Lonchura striata: one gene and its partners. The protein of the gene in region 2 purifies or fractionates together with the protein of the main gene of each other region. This does not show direct contact. Links are inferred from orthologs where the notes say so. Each region holds a gene or a part of one and is shown on either strand. Other genes may lie near its edges.

Region 1 (7,447 bases), on a different chromosome or scaffold from region 2:
ACATTCCTTGGCCCCGCTCGGTGCCGAGGCGACAACAGGAGCCGAGTCAGTCACAGCTTGGGGAGGAGAGGGCTCTTAGCGCTGCTCCTCCTTCCCAGGCAGGATCAGCAGCATTTTGGGAAAAGGAGCAGCAGGAATTCCCGGAGCCCCGCGTTGTACCCGGAGAGCTCCAGCAGTTTGTCCCCAGGCTGACACCCCCCGTGCTCCCTGCCCGTCCGGGGGGATTCCCCTCCAGCCCTGTGGGCACCAGCGCTCGGGGCGAGTCCTCAGAGCAGCCGAGGCCACACGGGCACGGCCGGGGGTGTCGGTAACCAGAAACCCGCTCCGCCCCCGTCCCACCCCGGCTCCTCCGGGACGGGGCACGGCGCTGCCCCAAAGCCGCTCTGCCTCCTGCTGCACCGGGACTCAGCCCCGGGCTGGCCGCTCGCCACCCACCCAGGTCCCCTGGGCACCCAGAGACCCCCACACCCCCAAACTGAGCACGGAGCGAGCCGACAACGCCACCAACACCAGCAGCAACAGCAACAGCAACACCGACACCAACACCGACACCAACACCAATACCAACATCACATCACCGTGGTGCGGGGAGAGCGCGTGGAAATGCGGGGACTCCGCACGCCCGAGCATTCCCCGGGACACCACGGCCCGAGAGGTCCCGGGAGCAGCTTTTCCTGCCCTTTTCCCGAGTATTCCTGAAAGAACCCCGCACTGCACACCCTTCCGGCACCGGGGTGCGCCCCCAGCCCAAATTGCTGCCCCCTCCAGGCAGGGACTCTCCTGTCCTGTCCTGTCCTGTCCTGTCCTGTCCTGTCCTGTCCTGTCCCGGGGACACCTGGCAGAGCCTGGCACACGGGACAAACCCCCTCCACACCCAACCCCAGCGACCTGCAGCCGTGCCGCGGTCGGAGCGGCGCTTCCAGGGTGCCACGGAAAATCCAAACCTCCTCCCGTCCCACCTCCCCGGGCTCGCTGTCATCTGAGCCTCGCAGTTAAACAAACCGGGCGCTTTACGAGCTTTTGGCTGGGCTGTGATTGTAGCCGCGTGTCACCCGACTTCCCAGTGCCACATTCCTGAGTCCCACAGTCACAGGTTCACATTCTAGGCAAACGATTCCGTTTATTTATATTTTTTTTTTCCCCTGCAGAAAGTCCTGTGGCACTCGGCAAAACAAAACCCCGCAGAGCACTCGCAGTTTTTGGGCGGTGATCAAACTGTCCCAGCGCCGGCAGCCCCGAGCCTGCCCCGCTGCCTGCATCCCTTCCCCGCCGGTTTGTCGCAGATCAAATTCAGGGGTTTTGCCATCTCCGCAAAGTGCCCCGGGCTGGACAACCCTGCCACCCCTGCCCCAGGTGCCCTCCTGGCCTGGAGGGCTCCCACAGCCACCAGCGGGGATGTGACAAGGGGACCGGGAGCGGTCCCACCGGGCAGGGGGGTCCAGCCCCGCTCCCAGCTCCCACAAGGTCATGAGGTAGTTCAGTGCCAGGCCAGTTCAGTCCCGGCCACGGCCAGAAATCCCTCCGGGGACGAGCATCCTGCACAGCCTGGCGTCCCCCACCCTGCTAAGGGACCCCCGGGTCGTGCCCCAAACCAGGGGGGGCTGCCAGCAGCCCCTCCGCCCTGCCAGGGGCCAGCTTGCAGAGTTTGAGTTTGGGGTTTCTTGCAGCTGTTAGGTTTTAGGCGCTCTCTAAAAAACAATCACTCTCGTTACGAAAGGAGGTTGATTTTCATTGGAAAGGCTCCTCTGTGCACCCCCCGCCCGAGCCCCCAGCACCCTCCCCGCCGGGCACAGTACCTTTGCCGTGCAAAAAATCCTCGGGGCGAGGGAAGGAGCCCTCCTCGCAGAGCAAGTCGCAGGTTTTATCCGGGGCCAGGGGGTAGCCGTTGTCCTCCTCGTTGTAGTCGCTCCTGCCGTTGCTGTTGGAGTAGCCGTTGGCGTACATCTTGAGGGCGGACCTGCGCAGGCACAGCAGCTCCTGGAAGGCGTACCTGAAGTCGGGGCTCCGGCAGTAGATCAGGGGGTTGAAGGCAGAGTTGACGTAGCCCAGCCAGTTCAAGAGGATGTACAGGTACTTGGGAATGATGTTGTCCTGGATGACGTGCACGATGTTGACGATGAAGAAGGGCAGCCAGCACAGCGTGAAGGTGCCCATGATGATGCCCAGGGTTTTGAGGGCCTTGTGCTCCTTCAAGAAGAACTTGGAGGAGCGGCGGTGCCCGGCTCCCCCTTTCTGCTCCTGCTCCTTGTTCTGGGTGTGAAACCTCCCCTCGCTCCTGTCTATCTTCTGCAGCTGCTTCTTGGCCACCTGGAAGACCCTGGCGTACACGAAGACCATGACGACGAGGGGCAGGTAGAAGGAGATGATGGAGGAGGCGATGGCGTAGGCTTGGTTGGTGAAGAAGTCGCAGCACATCTCGTTCTGGTAGCAGCGGATGGCGTCCTCATGGTCTGCCCGGTACCAGTGCATCTGGATGGGCAGGAAGGAGGTCAGGCCCGACACCACCCACACCACCAGGATGACCACGCGCGCCTTGCCCTTGGTCAGCAGGCTCTGGTACTTGAACGGGGACGTGATGGCGAAGTACCGGTCCACGGCGATGACGCACAGGGTCTCGATGCTGGCCGTGACGCACAGCACGTCCAAAGAGGTCCAGAACTCGCACCAGAAGTTCCCAAACTTCCACATCTCCATGATGATGTGGCAGGCGCCGAAGGGCACCACGGCCAGCCCCATGACCAGGTCGGCGCAGGCCAGCGAGGTGATGAAGTAGTTGGTGACAGTCTGCAGGCGCTGGAAGCGGGCGATGGCCGTGATCACCAGCACGTTGCCGAAGACGATGGCCAGCACGATCACCGACATCAGGATGCCCATGCCCACCATCCACACGTCCCGCGACACCGTGGGGTCGGCGGCGCTCTGGTTGGCGCTGGCGTTGCCGCCGGGCAGCTCCGTCCCCGCCGCGGCCATGGCCCGGCGCAGCCCCGGGGCGGCGGGGAGGGCTCGGCTCCGCTCAGCGCTCCGCAGCCGCGGCGCCGCTCCGGGAGCCGCGCATACGGGACAGGTGCGGGGCAGGCGCGGGGCCGCTGCGCTGGGGCACCGGCGCCGCTCCGCTCCGCTCCCGTCCCGTCCCAGCCCGTGTCCCAGCCCGTGTCCCAGCCCGTTAGGCGCCGCGGAGCTTTTTAAGTGACAGCAGCCCGTGACATCAGCCCGCCGCAGCCAATGGCAGCCGGCACCGCACCCCGGCCCCCCCGCACCCCGCGGCCACCCCCGCCTGCCCCACGCGTGTCCCCGCCCCGCCGGCCGCATCCCCGCGCCCCGCGGGCTCGCCCCGCTCCGTGCGCGCTCCCCTTCCCCGCGGTGCTCTCCCTTCCCCCTGCCCCGAGGTGTGCTTACCGGGGGCTCCCCTTCCCCGTGGGGTTCTCCCTTCCCTGCCCCGGGGTGCGCTCACTGCGGGCTCCCCTTCCCCGCGGGGTTCTCCCGTCCCCGTCCCGGGGTGCGCTGACCGCCCGCTCCCCTTCCCCGCGGTGCTCTCCCTTCCCCCTGCCCCGAGGTACCCTCCCGTCCCCCTGCCCCGGGGTGCACTCGCCGGGGGCTCTCCCAGCTCCGTGCCCGTTCCCCGTCCCCGCGGTGCTCTCCCTTCCCTGCCCCGGGGTGCGCTCACCGGGGGCTCTCCCCACTCCCTGTCCCCGCGGTGCCCTCCCGTCCCCCTTCCCCGTGGGGTTCTCCCTTCCCCCTTCCCCGTGGGGTTCTCCCTTCCCCCGTCCCCGCGGTGCCCTCCCGTCCCCGCCCCGGGATGTGCTCCAGGCACCGCCGTGTCCCTGCGCCTTCTGCCCGCAGTGCTCTCCCCGCGTCACTGATGTCCCCCCACGGTGTCCCCACCCCACCCGTGCCCCCCGTGTGCTCAGCAGGACGCACAGCGCCAGGAACATCCCGAGGACTCGGGGAGCCCCTGGCACCCCACCGGCGTTGGTGGCACCTCGTGGCAGGATGTCACCCGTGTCCCCGTCCCTGCCAGTCGCCAGCTCGGTGCTCTTGCTGCTCCCCAGTTGTGGGGCGCATCCAAGTGAAGCAGCCACAGGAATCCCAGAGCTGCTCAAGGGTAGAGACAGCCCTTAACTGTGCTGGGAGCACTGGCCAGGCAGGGAGTGACCACTGGAAACTGTGGCTGGCCACGCTGCAGCCAGGCACGTGTTCAGAGCCCGACACTATCACAAGCACTCCCCTCCAAAACAAACAAACTGGCTAAATAAGAGCTAAGGAATCCTGAAAACTTCCTTTTAGCCTGTCCGGAGATAAAACGCTGCCTCTGGAGTTTCATTTCTGCCATCCCTCTGAAGCAGCACTGCTTTCCCAGAGACCCATCTCACTCTGCTGGCCCTGGCTGCTTTCAGAGGTTTCAGCTGAAAGCTGTGGTTCTAAAACAGCTCGGTACTACAGAAAGGGAGAAAATAAAGAATTCTTTTCACCCAGATTACCCCAATGCCAGCAGCAGCAGCTGCAGGTCAGTCCCTGGCTGGATGCAGCTCTGTGGCCCTCCCATGGCACAGGAGTGCCAGACTCCTGCCTTTGTCAGCAATTAAACACTTATCAATGGTGAATCTTATGTGAAACTCATCAGCTCTTGGGTTCTGATGCGTTTTCATCATTCTGCCTCATTTTTCCTGCAGTACTGGGGTGCCAGGGCCAGGTTCCCCACTTTTGGCTGTCTTTGCCCCACTGTCCCACACCACAGCCTGCTGGGTGTCCATGCCATGCCCTGGCTGTGCTGGGGATATTTATAGGGGAGGGAGGAAGTTTGGTGGTTTAAACCAGAGGGGCAGATGAGGTACTGGAATCAGGAAACGAGATTAAAGGCAGTTATGAAGTGTCTGTCTTGCCCTGAACCCGCGGCTTCCCTGCTCTCCCCACACTCCACCTCTGCATCCACACGCTTCAGAGGCTTAAAAATGAAGAGACAAGGAACAGGAGATGCAGAAGTCACCCCCCTCCCACTGCAGACATCTGGCAGAGCAGGGACCCTGGGAGGAGCTCACCATCTGAGCTGATTACCTGGAGCTTCCCCTGCCCGTAAGATAAATAAGGCACACGGGGCCATCCCTCCCTACACACACAGCCAGGCAGAGCTGGGACCTGCTGGGTTCACTCTGTGGCCCCGAGGCTTTCACAGACCTCACCCCAGCAGGGCTGTGCCCCACAGGGGCTCGGCGAGCCCAGCTGGGTGCAATGTCCATTCCCACCCTCTGCCCCAGGCCAGCAGCTCCCACCTTGCAGGGAAAACACGGCCAAAAGCTCCTGGGAAAGCAAGGATGTGCAGGAAGTGCAGTAGTGGGAAAGAAAAAAACAGGAGGAAAAGGAGAAATTGTGGGAACTACACCTCATCCTCAGCTCCCTGTTCCCTTTTTTTGGTAAGAGCTGATGTGACAGCTCTAAGAAGCACTCGAGGTGTCAGGTAGTGACCAGGTGAGTTTGCTGGGCTGTTCCTGAGCATTTTGACACCAAATCCAAGCATTCCTAAAGAATTAAGTCCCCTCTCCTGATAAACATAAGGATGTTCATCCTACAGATGTTCAGCACTGGGTCCTGGCAGGAGCAGAAGCAGATTTGGGGATGTGTGGGAAACTGCTGCTCTGAGAGAGGCACAGGCGAGTTCCCTGCTTTGTAACAAGGCTTTTACCCAAGGCAGCCCTGGCTCTGCAATCCCTCTCCAGAGGCAGCTCCAGGACTCTGGAGCTCTGTGCCCAGGCTGCAGGGATCAGCCAGCCCCGTCTCCAGCTCGGTATTTTGTCTTTGTTGTACTCTGTTCAAAGAAATCTCAGCCTGGGCTTTGGACAAGAGGCTGTGCTGGAGGAAGGAGGGCAAAGCTGATTTTTGTTCCTTGATTTGCTCTCCGGCAATCTTTGCTCACCTTTTCGGGTGGGCTTGAGATGATTTTTGTCTTTGACAACACATCTGTGGCCCTCAGTAAGTTGGACAAGTGACCACAGGCTCTAAAAAAGGAAGGAATTTGCCTGACATAAAAATAAATTCCATCACCCCAAGTCTCACTGGCTTGTGAGGTTTGCATGACTTTACCTGTGCTTTTGAGCAATTATTAGATTTCCATCAGGTTCAAGGCTTCATATTGGAACAAAAATAATACCAAACCTCAGAGATGTTATGAACAGTTCAGTTTGAATTTTTTTGGAGGGGAGAGGCCCAAAATGCCTCCTTCTGGGTTCCTTGGACTTGGAGGGTGTCAGAACCAGACAGATCTCATTTGTTTCATGGCCCACTGGCCCTGGTGCTTTGTCATCACGCTGATCTTTTCCCTTTCCATAATTGGATACCTTCTCCCTGCTCGCTGAGTGACATTTGAAGAGCAGCCTGTGGGATCAATGAGAAAGCAGGGCTGGGAGAGAGAAATAATCACTTTTATCAGCCCAACTGACAGAACTGGAATAAACAGCCCGTCTTTTTGGCATGGAAGGCTTTCCTGAGGACTGTGAGGAGCTGGATGCTGTGTGCCTGCCCAGATGTTTATCACAAACTGGAATTAAATACCCTGGCCAGATCAGGCTCTTGGCAAGAGCTTGGAAGTGACAATCCTCAACAAAAGCGGTGTTTGGCAGCAGGGGAATTTGTGAAATTCCTCGCAGGGAAGGGTGTGAGGAGGCTTGGAGCCACCTGGGGTGGTGGAAGGTGTCCCTGCCTGTGGCTGGGGATGGAATTCAGTGATCTTTAAGGTCCCTTCCACCCAAGCCATTCCATGATTCTTTAGGCTCCCTCAAGATTCAGAGCAGGGTCGGGGTGCTCTGTGCAGGTTTTTGGGGGGATCAGAGTGCAGCCTCCTGGCTCCTGATTGATTTTCCTCTCCGTCCCTCCAAGCCATGAGAGGGAGCCACCCCTGACTTGCAGCTCCTGGTTAATCTCTCCCTTCTCCTTGTCGGGAAGACCGGCGCAGTCAGAAGAGGGTTTGAGTGATAAAATTGAGTTTTTGTTTGCTCCCTTCTCTCCGGAGCTCCCTGCACGGCCAGGGGGGAGCTCTGGGCTGTCAGTGAGGAAAGCCCAGGGTCCCCTTTGCACTGCCCTGGGTCAGGAGGGGCAGTGCAGGGGACAGAGACGCTCCAGCCTCGGTCCAAGGGGGTGATGCTGCCACCTCTGCCCCCCGGGACGGTGCCCACCCCGTGCCCTGCAGGGGAAGGGGCAGTGGGGGGGTTCTGCTCTGCTCTGGGGGGTGCAGGGCGGTGTGAAGGGCCTGGGACAGCTCCTGCCTGCCCCTGGAGCTGCCCTAAAGCTCCCACAGGTGCCACCGGCTGCCTGACCCTGGAGCTGCTCCCACAGGTGCCACTGTCCCCACCTGACCCCACCCGAGGGTGCTGTGAGGGTGGGAAAGGGAACAGAACAAAGCAGGACCTGGTTCACTGTGGGAACCCAGAGCTTCCCTCTGGCTGCCCTGGGACCCTGG
Region 2 (8,052 bases):
TTCAGCTTCAAATGACAGAAGAAAATTGCAGTTTATTATGACATGAAACAAGAAAAACGTTGACTTGGTCAAAATAAAAGTTGAGTGAAAAATGACTGAACACCTCGCAGACAAAAAGGGCTGGAATTATAAAAGGGGTTATAGCAAGACAAATTGAAAGAGAACAGCTTATGTGTGATGGTCTGAAGCATTAATGGAGGGATTCTGAGTTTCTATTGTCCTATAGAAGAGGCGATGCTCTACCTCCTGGAGTGCAAATACCTAAAATTTAGAAACGAATGACAAAACAAACAAACAAAAAAAACCCGTCCCATCAGCAAGATGTGGAAATAAATACACCTTCAGCACGCAACATTACTCAACGTAGGTCAGGAAAATGTGCTGAAAAGGCAAGAAAATGTGTCGGCCTGAAGGTGGACTTTTATACTGTTGGTTTGCGTTTGTTTTGGTTTATTTTTTTTTATGATAATAAATACGATTTTTTAAAATAAGAAATATGATTTATGTGTTGTTCTTTTTTGTTTAATTTTTTTTCCCGAGGCTGGGGGGGGAGCCTGGCGGAGAGCGGCGCAGCCACAGCTTGCAAGCAGCGCTCCCCCCCCTTCCTGCCAGCTCAGCAGTCCCGCCACGCCGCGGTAAACAAGTGCTGAGCTGTCAATCAGCGCGGGCTGGAGCAGGAGCCGACCGGCCTGAACCGGAGCGCCGCCAAGCCCCGCCGCCGGCTCCGCACCCAGGGCGGACCCTGCCGCCGCCCGCGCTGGGCAGACCCCTCAGGTGACGGGGCAGGGACGAGACGGGGCGCAAGCACGTCCCCCTGCCGCCTCTCTCTCTCTGAGGGGCTTTGCGCCGAGCCAGCGCCTCGGGGAGCGGCCCCTGCCCGCCGGGGGCAGGCAGCGAAACCTGCTCACTCACCCTAGCCGCCAGCGCCCCGCCAATCAGCGGCGGGCATCGCCTTAGCAACAGGGCAACAAACCGCGGCCGGCCAATCAGGGCGCGGCCGGGCCGCGGGGCCGCGCTGAGGGCAGGCGGCGAAACGCGGCCGGGCCGCGGGGCCGCGCTGAGGGCAGGCGGCGAAACGCGGCCGGGCCGCGGGGCCGCGCTGAGGGCAGGCGGCGAAACGCGGCCGGGCCGCGGGGCCGCGCTGAGGGCAGGCGGCGAAACGCGGCCGGAGCCGAGACGCGGCTCCGCGGGGCTCCCGGCCCGCCCGCTCCCACGCGTGCTCCCCCCGCCACGGGCGGCTGCTGCTGCGCGGCTGCAGACTCCCGTCTCCACGCTCTTGGAACCCGCGGGAAGTTACGCTCAGGTGTCTGATTTCTGAGGCGGTGGCAGCCCTAAGTCACCTCGTTAGCGCGGTGTGCTCGAGACGTGAAAAAAAAAAACAAACTAAAAAAAGGCCCGAGTTCTGCTACAGCTTTGAGCTCGGGAATACTGTGTGAAGGCGCTCGGTGCCGCCCGGAGTTGTTAAAAAATTACATTTATTATTTTTTAAGAAAAAACGAGAAATATCGCATCGCTGCTGTGTATATGATGTATTTTCAGAAAAAAAAAAAAAAAAAAGGGGGGACAAGCAGCCCAAAAAAATTACATAACCGGGTTTTAACATTATTTTCTTGCACTGGGGAATTAAGTCATCGCCACCACCTGACGAGTGCGGCCAATCTGCGCGGAGCGGGCGGCCCACCCCCCTCCCACAAAGCCGGTCCCAAACAGGATTGAACCGCTTCGAACAAAGGCTGCGAAGTTCGGGGGAGAAAGAAATAAAAAACCACAGAGAACCCCCGGGCCCTGGCGCTTGCACCCCCCAGGGGAAGGAGTCTGCGCTTCGTGGGGACACCACGGCGGCTCGAGTGGGAAGTGGGGAGCAGGAAGTCCTCATCTCCCCAGTTTTGGGAGAGATGCTTCCATTACGCAATATCGCTTCCCCCCCTCTCTCTCCTCCCCCTCCTTTTGCTCCTCATCAAGGGCTTTTCGGACACATCTTTACATCGGGGTGACCCCCATTGCCCAGCGGGGTGTAGGGGCGGCCCAAGGAAATTAAAGCTTTTTACCAGGGCGAGGGGAATATTGAAATGAGGGAAAAATTACACGTGTGGTGGTGAGATGTCAAAATAAGCTAGGGAGACCCTTTTATCTGCAAATAATCAACCATCCTGAAAAATGCATTGTATTACCACTCCAACAGCATCAGCAGAACCCCTCATGTGTCAAAAAGTATAGTTTTTATGCTTTCGCTGTGTTTCAATTAGGATTCTGCCAATAAAGTCCGCTGCCCATCTGGCTGTAATTTTACAGCTGTTTTTCCCCACGGAACAGCAAATCCTACTAAATATCACCAAGGAAAAAATAAAAGGTAAAACACTCGGAAAAAACTTATATTAATATATAGCCGTAATGAAGGGCAAGTAGTTCAGAGGGAGTCCTCTTGCTTGCAGGTACTTTGCAAATGCATTTCCTACATGTAACTCCATTGCCAAGATACGACCCTGGGCACGTCCTGCTCTCCAATGCACCTAATTAAAAGACAGGACTAAACCAGGGTGATACAAAGATGCGTGCTTTTTTTTCCATAAAAAAATAAAGCAGCACAGTTAAGGGCAGCCCTTACCTCTCTCGTGGCCGATCAGGATGTCTTTATGGTTGAAATATTCCACTTCTTCGGTGTAGTTCTGTGTATAGGCAGTGTTGGATCCAGCATTCCTCGATTCAGTCCAACGTACTTTAGCGTGGCCCCTCGCATGGATTTTAAGGGATTTCACTCTGATTTCCCCAGTTACTTCTAGACTGACCCTTCCTGAGACTGTATCCCCACTAGAGTAAACAGGGACATTGCTGTCATTCAGACAGTCAAAGCTTATCGTCAGACTCTTCACCTTCCCCAGCACCATGGTTTTTATAGCAAAGTGTACAAAAATAGACTGTTAAGAAAAAAAAAAAAAAAAAAGGGGGAAGGGGGAACCCAAAAAACAACCAGCCCCGAGCCCCTGGGGCGCAGGGTGCTGCGGCGCGTACCCTACAGGCGGCTCATGGGGGCGGCGGGCAGCCCCGGCCGCGGCGCGGGCGGCGCTGGTGCCGACGCGGCGTCTCCCCACAAAGGCGCTGCCGCGCCGCCGCCGGCCCCGCCTTATAAGCCGTGTGACAAACAAGCGCGGGCGCGCATGCCCCGCCCCGCCCCGCCGGGGCAGCCCCGGCTCCGCGCCGCCGCCGCCGCCGCCGCCCGGGAGCGGGCGGAGCGCGTTTTGTGCCGCCCGGCCGGGCGGAGCGGGTCGTGTGCTGCGGCGGACGCCGCGCAGGTGATGCTCTGTTGGTGCAGATGGCAGTATTGCAGCCTCTACGGAGACAGCAAAGTTGTGCCTCACTTGACAGACCTTGTTCTGAAACTGGCAAAGCCTTCCTTCTCTTGGTCATTGGGTTTTGGGGTGGTTTTGGTTGGTTGGTAGGATTTTGCTGCTTTGGTTTGTTTGGTTAGGTTTTCTTCCTTGTTTCGTTTTTTTTTTTTTTTTTTTTTTTTTTTTTTTATCTCTGTGTGTATGTGTCTGTGTCTAAAGATGGGAAAGAAGTGAGCAAAGCTTGGTAGGAAATGATAGAAAATCATGGCAAGAAATAAAAAGCAGTCCTGGCTTTCAGGGTAGTACATATTGTACTATGTGAGGATCCTCTCTGTTAACTTTTGAAAATCAGTACTGATTAACCTGAATTTATCTACGGCAGTATCAATGACTGTCCTAGCAATAAAAATTACATTACTGTAAATCATCCCTGGAATTTTTTCCAACTGTTGATTTTTTTTTTTTTTTTCATTATTACTTTGGTTGTCCTGTTTCTCTGGTAAATGCTCTGGGTTTGGTTATTTAATGCTACATTTTCTAATTCTAGCTCACTTCCCTGCTGACACAAAATTTTCAGTGAGAAGTATGATGGTGGTGGATGACATACCCCAAGACACCATTTTTTCGGGGGACTAAACTGAGATACACAGCTAACTTTTCATGCTAACGGTTAAGTTTTGAAGTGTTTGCCTATTCCTGCTGTTTTTTCTTAAGTAAAAAAAGTCACATTTTCCTTGGCCTTGTGGATATTCTCATGTGGGGTTTTTTTGTGGCCAAAGGAATTCAAGTCTCTTGTGGGTAAATTAGGATTTTCTGTGCTTTTGCAGCATCTCATGGTAAGCATTCATACTTCCTTAGCTCTTAGAATCACAGAATAATTGAGGCTGGAACAGACCTTCAAAATCCTGTAGTCCAACCATAAAAAAAAACACTTTCAAGAGAAGAAGAGTTGATTAAATTTCTCTTCTGACAGTGTTTCTTTGTTCTTCTCATGCCTTCAGACTCAGGTAGTCTCTTGCATGTGTTTATTTGCACATTTTAATTCTATTCTGTAATTTAAAAGATAATTGTGTCTTTCATGAGTCATAGAAGCCACAATTCCATGGTCTCCAGTTGCTACAGGAGTTGAGAAAGCTGGCAGCCAGGTGGGATGCAGATTTCATCCACAGGGTTTGGGTCATATCTCCTGTTCTGCCAATTCTGGGCTGGTTCTTAATGTTCACCTGCCCAAGGACAAATCTGCAGACATGATAAAGAGCAATTGCATTTTCCAGGAAGCTGAAGATACAAATCTGTTATTCCAGTGGATATTAATCTGGATTTTTTTTTTTTTTTTTTTTTTTTAATCTAGATAGGTAAGAAAGAGGATCATCCTACATAGTTGGGGTATGTGCAGCATGCTTTGTGTACTGTTTGCATTTGCCTATTCCAAATTTGTTGAAGAAAAATAAAATACTTCACTAAGCTGCTGCAAATCATCCCCTGTATATACCCTGCAGACCTCATAGCCCTGTCTTACCTCCCCTCTCACTAGACATCAGCCATCTCCTAGATCACCATATTTCGTGTATGGCTATATGTGATTTAAATCTAGACCACTGAACAGGCTGACATAGTTTAGTTAATCATGTGTTATGCATATTAAACTTCAGACTGACAGCTCTGCAGAAGAATCTATGTATGTATATGTATACATTTCCTGCATCCTGCCAAAAATCACCCGTACACATTCAGCCTCTGCTGCTCTTTTTAATACTTCAGTGTATTCGTTTTACTTTTGTGTTCCTAAAGCATACTCGTCATGCCACCTTGTGGCAAGGATGGTGAAGTGCCAGCACTGACTTTCACCAGTCTCTGGCCTCTGCATTTATGCAAAATTGACATTTTTCCATGGAGCCTTTTTGTCAAAAACAACAACAACAACAGCAACAACAAAAAAATACACCAAAACATTAATTTTATTTTATTTAAGTGGAGAATATACTATGAGGTTTAGCCAAAAATATTTAGCATTTTTTTAGATGTTAAGTTAACCAAATATTTTTCAGGATTTAAGTTTTTGCATTTGTCAAATGAGCTATACTCTAGTTAAATATTAAAAGTTTTATAGATCCTGACATGGGATTTTAAAAATTGGTTGCAAAGACAATCAGGTCTTATCATCTTAGATCAACAATAGGCAGTGAAGACTTTGTACACACATGAATTATCACGAGCCTTCACTAACCTTTTACAGGCCTTATGCATGATACAGTCCACAAAAATTCACATAAAGTTTTAAAAAAGTATTAATTTGATTAATTAAGCCAAATTTCTTTCTTTTTTTTTTTTTTTTTAACTGGTGGAACCTATGAAGATCATGGTGTCTGCTATTGAAGTTAGTAGCTCCAAGGAAGATGGCAATATTCCAGCCTCCATAAAGGCATAAAGATTATACCTTATTTTACAAACCCTTTCTTGAAACTGGCAAAGTCTTCCTTGTTTGTCTTTTTTTTTTTTTTTCCCTTGGAACTTTAAAAATTATTTCTCCTTTTAAAATTATTTTCTTATTTTTTAAATAAAACAACCTATGCCTAGAACTCTCTCAACCTCCATGTGACGTAATTATACATTTATGCTGAAGACCATTCAAAATCCAGAGGTTAGGTCCATTTAGAATCTTTGTAGCTTATCAGTCTTCTCACTGTGCACTTGGTAAATCTGTAAGGGTGGGTATTATGCACAATGATCTTGATAACAGTCATTACATTTTTCTAAAAGCAAAGCCAGAAAAGCTTGCAAAGTTCTCCTGACTCATCAATAAACTACTATTAGTAGGAAGATCCAGGTTTTGAGCCCATCTTCTTACAGACCATCCTGGTTTGAGACTAGGCCTGATTTGATGTGGAGACAGTGTTTGCCCTCCCTGTGAAGCTGTTACCTTGTACACAGAGAATGGGCTAGAGTGAGTGTCAGAATAGAAGATGCGTGTTTTCTGAAGGTTAACGTGTCCTTATCAAAGGGAGAATCCTGAAAAGAAAACTCATGCTCCAGAATGGTTTCTATGTTTTGTGCAGTGAATGAATGAAACATGTGAAATGTTCTCTTAATGGACTTGTTTCTGTTCATCTTTGTTGTGTCTGATCCCAAATCTATTCATAAAAATAAGAGAAATGAGGTTTGCCCTCATCATAACTTTGTGAGGCTACATTTGTGAAATATTGTCGCATCAAAATAGTGAGATAAAAAAGTTAATTTATGGTACTGTAGATCTGTGTACTGAGGAACTTTTTCCAAAACTCCGGGATTCAGAAGAATGTCTACAGACTTTCTTTTTGTTACTATCTCCACTGGAACAGTTGTTCATCTCTCAGAGCTGTAGAAAGAACAGAAATTTTTGCTAAATAGTCTTCCTTTGGGCTTATTTTTTTAATGGAGAAATAATCAGTGATGTAAAGAAACTTGGAGATTGAAACTGTTTCCTGGATTTGAAAGATCCAGGATTTGGGAGCAGCTTTTCTCGTATTATCTGTATCTTTAGATGATAGCATTTATTATTGAGAAAGAGCGTTCTGTATTTCTGATGATTCTGCTTTCAGAAGGCACATACTGTAAAAAAAAATATTCAGTCTCAAAACTCAAGCACTGTTTGAAATGTTTATTAGTTTGCGGTTTTTTTCTTTAAAATATTTTAAAGCTGTCTTGGAGCTAGGTGACACTTTGGTCCATGCCATAGCTGCAGAGCTTCCATACCTGGCTCATACACGTGGTCATGTTTAAAAACCTGGGATGGTCACTGATATTGTAAAGGCTATGAGAATATGCAGGATTATGAAATCAAAATTATTTAGGAGTGATTAAGATACAAAATAAACTTTACTGTGAGTCTAGTAACATGTAACATGTTTTGCTGTTGTAACTTTTTTGATGTAACATGTAACTTTTCTGATGGGGTTTTACCGTATAGTGCGAGGAAGAAGGATTTGGCAATGTGCTTGAGTCGCAGTAGTACTGAGGAAAATGTTCTCTTGAATTTTGTTTCTGCATTCCCTCTTTTCATGTTTATCTCTCCTTCTGACTAGCACTTTGCAGAGAAATCTTAAAATATTTGTGATTATATAAAGTTTCTTTTATGCAAAGTGTGTATTTTTGTTACAGGATCTTTCCAACATGCCATGATATTAACTCCGTTGGTCAGGGCATGGTACTCTGCCAATAGTGCCAAGATAGTAACTTAAGAGTTGGTGTGACTGTTCAGTAAGAAATGACAAAAAGTCAGTCAGAAGGCTGAGTGGCATAAGCATGCATCTTTACTTGGTGTTGCTTCTTTTATACACTGATCTGATACAGGTGGACCTGATTGGTCATTTAATCAATACATTTCACCCAATTAGCTAATTAACAAGACACACATTTATAAACAATCTTATGAGAATATCAAGAAAACAGATATTAGGAAGACACTAACTGCAGGCTGTTTTTAATAATTGGATATCATTGTTTATCTCCAACTCCCTAAAATCTCCCAGGCTGATTCTGGGAAAACTTATCTAGTTTTCTTGCTCTCTGACCAGACTCTCATATCCACAAGTTGGAGTCAATTATCCTTCTGTGTCCCCTCCAACTCATCCGATTCTGTCATTCTGCGATCCAGCAAGAATACTAGAAAGATGTTTAAAGTATTTGAAATAGAATTTTCTAAAAAACTCAGATTTTTTTTTCATTATACATTCTTTTGGTTTATCAA
Region 3 (7,133 bases), on a different chromosome or scaffold from region 2:
TAAAAGACAGAACATTTTTATCAGTAGCTTCACTCCTTTTTCAGTCCTTTGGAAGAATTTTTTTAACATAGCTAAAAGTAACTTAAAAGAATCACTTAAAGACAGCTTGCAGCAAGCACTTATATTGGTTATCACTCCATTACCTCACCTAGCCTTCACACTTCATTATCTCAATTCTAAAATGAACTTGGGGTTTTTTGTGGTTGCAGGATTTTTTTTAAGCTAACAATGAGTATTTGCTTTAAATGCATAAAGAGAAGCCATTTCCAATTAACAGACATGGTTTAGGTTGTGATATTTCCAATCACGGCACCTTAGTTTTTAAGTTTAATGTTTTAATAGCATAAGAAGTATGAAGAAATTGAATGTGATACCAACTCCCTGTTGTAGATCCTTACTTCTGATTCTTCCTGTCCAAAACCCAGAAGGAATCTCTTTCCCCACACACATTCTCTCACGAAAAATAACAGGGAAGTGGGCAGAAATTCCAACTTATCAAAATTTCCAACTTCATACTGAAAGATAAAAAGGAAGATGAAAAGCAGTAAAACTAGCAGACATTACTCCTTCCAAGGGTTCCACAGACTCAAGAAAAGGGGTTGGCTCTGAACTCCATCAGTATTCCTGTGATTTAAGAAGCACTTGTAGGCAAAGTGATTATTTAAACTTTATTGAAAACCCTTTAACAAAAACATACTGGCTTACAGTGGTTTTTTACTGATATTTAGCAACAAATGCAAACTATTTTACAAACAAAAATAATCCGTATTCTTTTGGTAACAAAGTGTCCCATACCAAGAGAATAAATCAGTCCCAAAGCTCTCAAGCGTCCAAGTATAATTTTGTATTTAAGGGAATTATTCTACAGTGTCACTGGGGGAAGTCCACAGATAGTACTAAGCTGCTCACAAGCTAGAAGCACTTACGGGACTAGACCTTTAAAATATAGCTCAAAATCCGCACTGAAGAGGTGATACAGGAATTCTAAACCCACAAGTTCACAAGCAGCATCAACAAAAAGTATTTCTAGTTGCCCCATTTAAAAGCATCTTAGTCATGAATCCAAGTAAATTGTGCTTTTGCAGCTGCAAAATTTTTCTCAAAAGGATGAAAAATTCTCAGATTTTCTTCTCTAAGTAAATTTATTTAATCTTTATTAGTATTTAAATCGATCAGAAATAGTTATTCAGTTTAGATCTGGACCAACATCGATTCAGATAAGGCAGTACGGAAATTTTTTTTTTTGAATATACAACCAGTTCAAGTTAGCAAAGCATTATCACAGCTAATATCAGTCCATTTGTTTCTATGTTGTAGATATTAAACCAGTATACCAATTTTAAGAGTAGACTTATTACTATGAAGATCATACTGTCTTTTACAGGTATGACCATATATAACACAGCTACCTGCAGTCCGTGATTGCATCTCCTAGTAAACCAGTATTATTAAACTTGCACAACCTGAGTTTTTTTTTCAATCCATGGCATCCTGATTACTTTTTATAAGATACAGCTGCCCTGTGAAAATGCAACTGAACTATGAATACCTTTTTTTACAGTTTCACCCAAACATCGAAGAGCTCCCATTAAAATGACTAGACGGTGTAAAGGCCTTTTCTCTCTTTGATGTACAGTTTAAACATTTATAGATCTGGAAGCAGAGCTAGATCATCCCAGTTAAACTGGGATGAGAATTGGTATCATTCCAAAAATAAGACAATCACAAATAAAATCAAGAAAATAAACACACTGAGTTGTAACATTTTGCAACAACATAAACAAAGATAAAGGACACAAACACGTCTTTTGAGGTCTTCAATTCACACAGTCTGCTCAGGCGAACACCCATCACAGGGACCCCGAGAGACGAACAGACACCTATAACCTGAGCGCTGACCGAGAACACCTCGTGCTCCCTGCGCTGGCACCGTGAGGGGCGACAGCAGCGCACCGAGGAGGGGACACGGCTCCTCACCTCCTCCCTCCCCGGCTTCGCCAAAGGAAGGTGAACAGAAACGTAACAAAATCCTTCTCCTCTGCTTCCAGCCCGCACATAAGCCAGGGCTGGCCGCGGAGCTGCCTCACTGACTCCTGGCCACTAAAGCCTCTCGCAATCCACTCAGCGTTGACACAGGTCACGACTCAGCTCGCCGTCACCCTCGCAAAGGCCGTAGCCAGGAATAAACAAGGTTATTCGCCTGACACCGGACACCGGCGACACTCCCCCTCCCTCTCCCCCGGCCCCACAGAGACACAGGCTCACCACAGCCCGACCCTCCCTCCCCTCGCCAGGTGCGGGCCCAGGGGCCCTCAGCCCTGTCCAGACGCGAGCCAGAGCGGGAGGCGGCAGGGAAGCAGCAATGCTCCGAACACCGTGTGGGGCATCGGGAGGGGAGAAGCAGCAGCCACCGCCCCCCGCCAGTACAGCCCGAGGGGTGCGACGAGTCCAAGTGCCGGAAAGGAGCGACCGAGACCTCACCACGGCTCCCTTCGCCATTTTAGCCCCCACGCCCATTCCCCTCCTCCCCGCCCCTCGGTGACAGGGGCAGATCGCACCCGTGCAGCGCCCACCCCCCCGGCTGCCCACGGCCGAGCGGCGGCGAGGACGGCAGCCGTGTTTCCACCGGACGAGACCGCAAACCAAAGCGGCTGCGGCACAGCCTGGTTTGTGCCCTTACTCACCGTGGCTCGCAGCCTCACAGCTGCCGCCGCCTCCTTCTCCTTCCTTCCACCCTTTTCTTCTTCTTCGCTTCCTCGCCGCCGCGGCGGCTCCTCACCCCTCCGCGCCGCGCTCCGCCGCCGCCGCCGCGCAGAATGATGCCATCTCACAGCGGCATCGGCGGCTCCGCACAACAGCCCTCCTCCCGCTCCTCCCGCCCCTCCCGGCGCCGCTCCCGCCGCCGCTCCCGCTGCTCCCGCCGGGCGCCGCTGACGGCCGGGCCAGCCTCGTGCGCGCGCCCGGGGCACGGGCAGCAGGAACTTGTGGAGCTGCAGCCGGAGCCGCTGGAGCCGCCCCGGCGGGAGGGCCCGGTCGGGACCGAGCACTGCGCAGCGGCGGTGGGAGGGGAGAGGCGAGCCTGAGCCGAGGCTCTTCAAAGGGGACAGGGCTTATTCCTAGCGCCTGCCCCGGGCTGAACCAAGTCGGGCGCCGCGGCGGGGAGAAGAGCCGAGAGCACAGAATCGACTTTGGGGGAGGCGGGGCCGGGCTGCAGCCCCGGACCACGGTCCGTGGGACGGAGCCTGCTGGGGCAGGATAAGGAGGGCTCCTGCGAGTCGCTGTCCCCCGACAAGGCTCCTGTGCGGCGCCGAGAGCCAGCACACCCCGGTGCGGTACGAGCGATAAAGGCGGGGGGTGTCTCCTCCAGCGCCGCCCGCCCTTCCTCCCCGGCCGTGCCGGCAGGGCGAGCTGCTGTGCCCCGCCGGGAGCTCTGCCGCCGTGACAGACCGTCCCCCGGCCGGTCCCCGTCCTCCACCGCGGAACCTCTTCCCCCTCTCGGAGTAACGCAGCCCTTCCCGTCCTGGGGCGGCAGGGCAGCTCTGCGCAGCCCTCGGCAGCGGCGCAGAGCGGCCCCGCTGCGGGGCGAGACACCGCCCGCCCGGCGGCAGCCCCGGCACGGGCGCGGGGCCGGCTTTCCCCTGGCAGGAGTCTCGGGCCTCCCCTGCGGATTTACAAACCCAAAAGTAGCTACATATGCACAAGTATGTGGAGCTAAAGTTGTGTCTTACATTGAAGACTAATGAAGCTTTGTCTTCGTGCCGTACAACATAAGGCTGTGGAGTGTGGAGGCAGTGGTAGCACGAACTTTCGGGCATAAGACCTTTGAGTGGTTGTCCCAGAAAGTCCAGCACTACTGTTAATTGAAAGGAACAAAAGCTTACAGTATGAGACCCTTAAGCAGCTTTCAGCAACGTCCGGTATTTCATTATTCTTAAAAAATAACATGGGGGCCAGCAATCTGATTTGGGCATGTAAATTCCTCCAGGCAATAAAAGGAATACTCTCAAAAGTACTACTTTCCTACCTATTCATTCTTCTTAGAAAATCTACAGGAAAACAAAGTTTCCAAACAGTGTTTGCAAAGGAAACAGTATTTACAGTCCAGCTTTAAAAGTATCTCAGAGTATTCTAGGAAAAAAATACTGGTCTTCTCTTGACTGGTAATACAAGTGACTGAAAACTGTGATGGTTTGAGCTTCTGTACACAGCAAATGTAACAGAATGTATGGGTTCTACACTCACAAAATCTGGCATGGGCAGTAAGATGAGCTGTATGCAATTAGCAACCTAGTTGCTAATTGCAAGCCAACCAAGTTAATCCCTCTGATTTACATAATTCAGCATATACTATTTTCTCTACAACAATTAGAACTTGCATTTAAAGAAAACTAGAGTCCCTCTTTAGTTCTGAGGTTGTCCAAAATTAGGAACTTGCTTACTACAAGGAACCACTTTTAAAATATTTTGGTAGCACTTTCAGAGTGTGGTAACGTGCTCCATCTCACTTTCCTGGCTGTTTGTTTTTCTAGTGTAAAGCGATCTAATTGAAATTGATGTAGCATTATGTTCCCAGCTGCAAAGGGTGGGTGAAGATGTGCATGGAACCATTCTATCTCTGGTCTTTGCAGAAGATAGTAATTTCTCTTCTATAAAACTTTGCTTGTTACTAATATCAGTAATCTGATGCTGATACTTAATAGAAAGTATGAGCACTACTTCTTACTATATGTGTAAAATTTAAAAGTTCTTCTTTCTTGCCTTATGAAGTATGAGAAGTGTGTAGTTAATTAATACTCTGTAGACAAGTTAGGGGCTTTTCTGGCTTCCCTCCTCCCTGTTTCAAAACAAATTTTGTCATACATTTGTCTCACTTTGGGGAACAGTGACATTCCAAGTATTCTTCCATCTTAAAAGACATTTGATCCCTTATGAATGCAAAATGTCCCAAGTTTCTTAATGCCACAAGTTAGGTTATAAATGTCTTATAAAACCTCTTCAATATTTCTGACTACTTTTAGAATAGTAGGTAATGGAAACATAGAATCATAGAATGATTTAGATTGAAAAGCCCCTTTAAGTTCATCCAGTTCCCCACCCTCCCTGCCATGAGTAGGGACACCCTCCACTAGACCAGGTTTTCCTCAGAGCCTCATCCAACCTGTACTTAAACACTTCCAGGGATGGGGCATCCACAACTTCTATAGGCAACATGTTCCAGTGTCTCACCACTCTCACAGTAAAGAATTTCCTCTTAATATCTAATCTAGACCTACTGTCCTTCAGCTTAAAGCTATTGTCCTATCTCTACATCTACATGGTAAAAAGTCCCTCTCTGGTTTCCTTGTAGGCCTCTTTAGGGACTAGAAGGTGCTATAAGATCTCCCAAGAGCCTTCTGTTCTCCAGGCTGAGCAATGCCTATGCTCTCAGCCTGTCTTCATAGAAGAGCCGCCTCACATTCCAGTCCCCTGATAGTATTAAATACTTAATGGTTAAAAGCCATGCATTGACAACTTGCTGACAACATTCAAGTTATGGAGTTATATGTGTATACTTATACCTGAGAAAGTGCAAATACAGTGTCTTCATTTTGCAGATAAGCACCTTTGTTTGTTTTCTTCTTTGTTTTGGCCAGAAAAGATTACAGATTATCATACAGTGCTGAAGGCTAGCAGGAATTAATGTAGGTCTGGGTGTCCTTGTTACCTTAGAGTTTTGCTCTTTGTAGGGTGAAATAGAGTTTTTATTAACCCCTTCACTATCCCTTTACAAAAGTTAACCTCAGTTAGCATTTGATAAGCCATTAAACTTACCAAAACAAATCAACCAAAGTTGGAATTTTGCAAGATGGTCTGCATGAAGATTTCAATAAATATAAGAGTATCTTCTATACACAACATTCCTGAGATAGTAATTTATGATACTAGTGAAAGATTTTAACAGCATCTCCTTATGTATTTCTGATTTTTTTTTTTCCTTTACTCTTTACAAAGTAAGGACAGTTTTGGAGAACTTGGATTCAGACCAGATCTCTATAAAACAGACTCCAGAATATACTGGGTTTATCCTCAGATTTTAATAGATCTTCTCTGGTATACTTGAACCGTGTACATTTGATAAGCATGGATTTTCAGACAGGCTATTGCAATATTTAGGTTTTAATAGATCAGAGTGTAACCAGTGTCTGGAATTATATCTTACCTTTTCACTAATTGTTTCTCTGTTGTAGCTGCCCAAACAGGGGTGGCAGTGGGCTCTACTAGCCTTTAATTGGAAAGTCTGAGTGACAGTAGTTTTGCTTAATTTATTGTTCTGTAGAACTCTTGTAGATCTCAATAGGCAGTAAACCAGTACAATTGCAAATTAATGACTTTCTCAGCCCATACAATTACTGTACAATACCATCTATTTGCATTTCTGTTTCTTTGATTTCTCTAACATTTTACAACTACAATCCCTGAATGTTGCAGAATAGTTTAAAAACTTCTGTAGAAAAGTGTAAGTGAAGTGTAATGTTCCAACTTCCTTAACAGTAATGCAGTAGTAAAACATGAGGCTGAAACCAAATATTTCTGCCATTAATAGACTCCAATGAAAGCTGATTTCACCTGAGCAAAGGCACACAAAACTAGTCAGTGTGGTTTCTGTTTGAAATGAGTAAAGTTTTATGATACAAGCCTTAAATGCAAATGGTTATGTTGATTGCTTACTCAGCCCTAATTTCCAAATGTGGCGAGGGGGGGGGGGGGGGGGGCAGGGGAGGGGGGGGAGGGGAGGGCATGGAATGTGTCTAATGAGAGTAGAGGGAAAATGTCCTTGGTTATTGTTGGGGTTTTTTTGGTTTTTTACATGGAGATTTATTATTACAAAACTCATGCAGAGTAAGAAAAATTTTGGACAAGTTTCTTTGGACCATATTCAAAAAACCATTTAGGCACCTGAATTGTGGTTTAGATAAAATGTAAATTTTACCTTCAAAAGCATAAGCCACAAAACCATGTAGATGTAGTCACCCAAGTCTGCCAGTGGATGTACTCAGTGTCTGTACGCATTGGCAGCAGGCACCTGATGTCTCCTCATTGCAGTAAAAAAATACTACTTGGCTTATGCCTAATTTATTTGGGGTCCAGGTGGT

Evidence for each region.
Region 1: the proteins of ARRDC3 (region 2) and ADRB2 purify together in Homo sapiens (affinity purification with western blotting; 6 studies listed by BioGRID and IntAct, with this or other methods). This does not show direct contact. The link is inferred for Lonchura striata from reciprocal best matches to the Homo sapiens genes ARRDC3 and ADRB2.
Region 3: the proteins of ARRDC3 (region 2) and WWP1 purify together in Homo sapiens (affinity purification with mass spectrometry; 4 studies listed by BioGRID and IntAct, counting the BioPlex papers as one, with this or other methods). This does not show direct contact. The link is inferred for Lonchura striata from reciprocal best matches to the Homo sapiens genes ARRDC3 and WWP1.

What each region holds. Positions count from the first base shown.
Region 1 is NC_134617.1:1,908,744-1,916,190, forward strand, and holds the start of ADRB2 (beta-2 adrenergic receptor), read right to left. Parts: upstream 3,024-7,447; 5' UTR 2,971-3,023; coding exon 1,797-2,970; intron 1-1,796. UniProt on the Homo sapiens protein: Beta-adrenergic receptors mediate the catecholamine-induced activation of adenylate cyclase through the action of G proteins. The beta-2-adrenergic receptor binds epinephrine with an approximately 30-fold greater affinity than it does norepinephrine.
Region 2 is NC_134642.1:67,596,555-67,604,606, forward strand, and holds the start of ARRDC3 (arrestin domain-containing protein 3), read right to left. Parts: upstream 3,099-8,052; 5' UTR 2,886-3,098; coding exon 2,606-2,885; intron 1-2,605. UniProt on the Homo sapiens protein: Adapter protein that plays a role in regulating cell-surface expression of adrenergic receptors and probably also other G protein-coupled receptors.
Region 3 is NC_134603.1:27,225,028-27,232,160, forward strand, and holds the start of WWP1 (NEDD4-like E3 ubiquitin-protein ligase WWP1), read right to left. Parts: upstream 3,025-7,133; 5' UTR 2,685-3,024; intron 1-2,684. UniProt on the Homo sapiens protein: E3 ubiquitin-protein ligase which accepts ubiquitin from an E2 ubiquitin-conjugating enzyme in the form of a thioester and then directly transfers the ubiquitin to targeted substrates.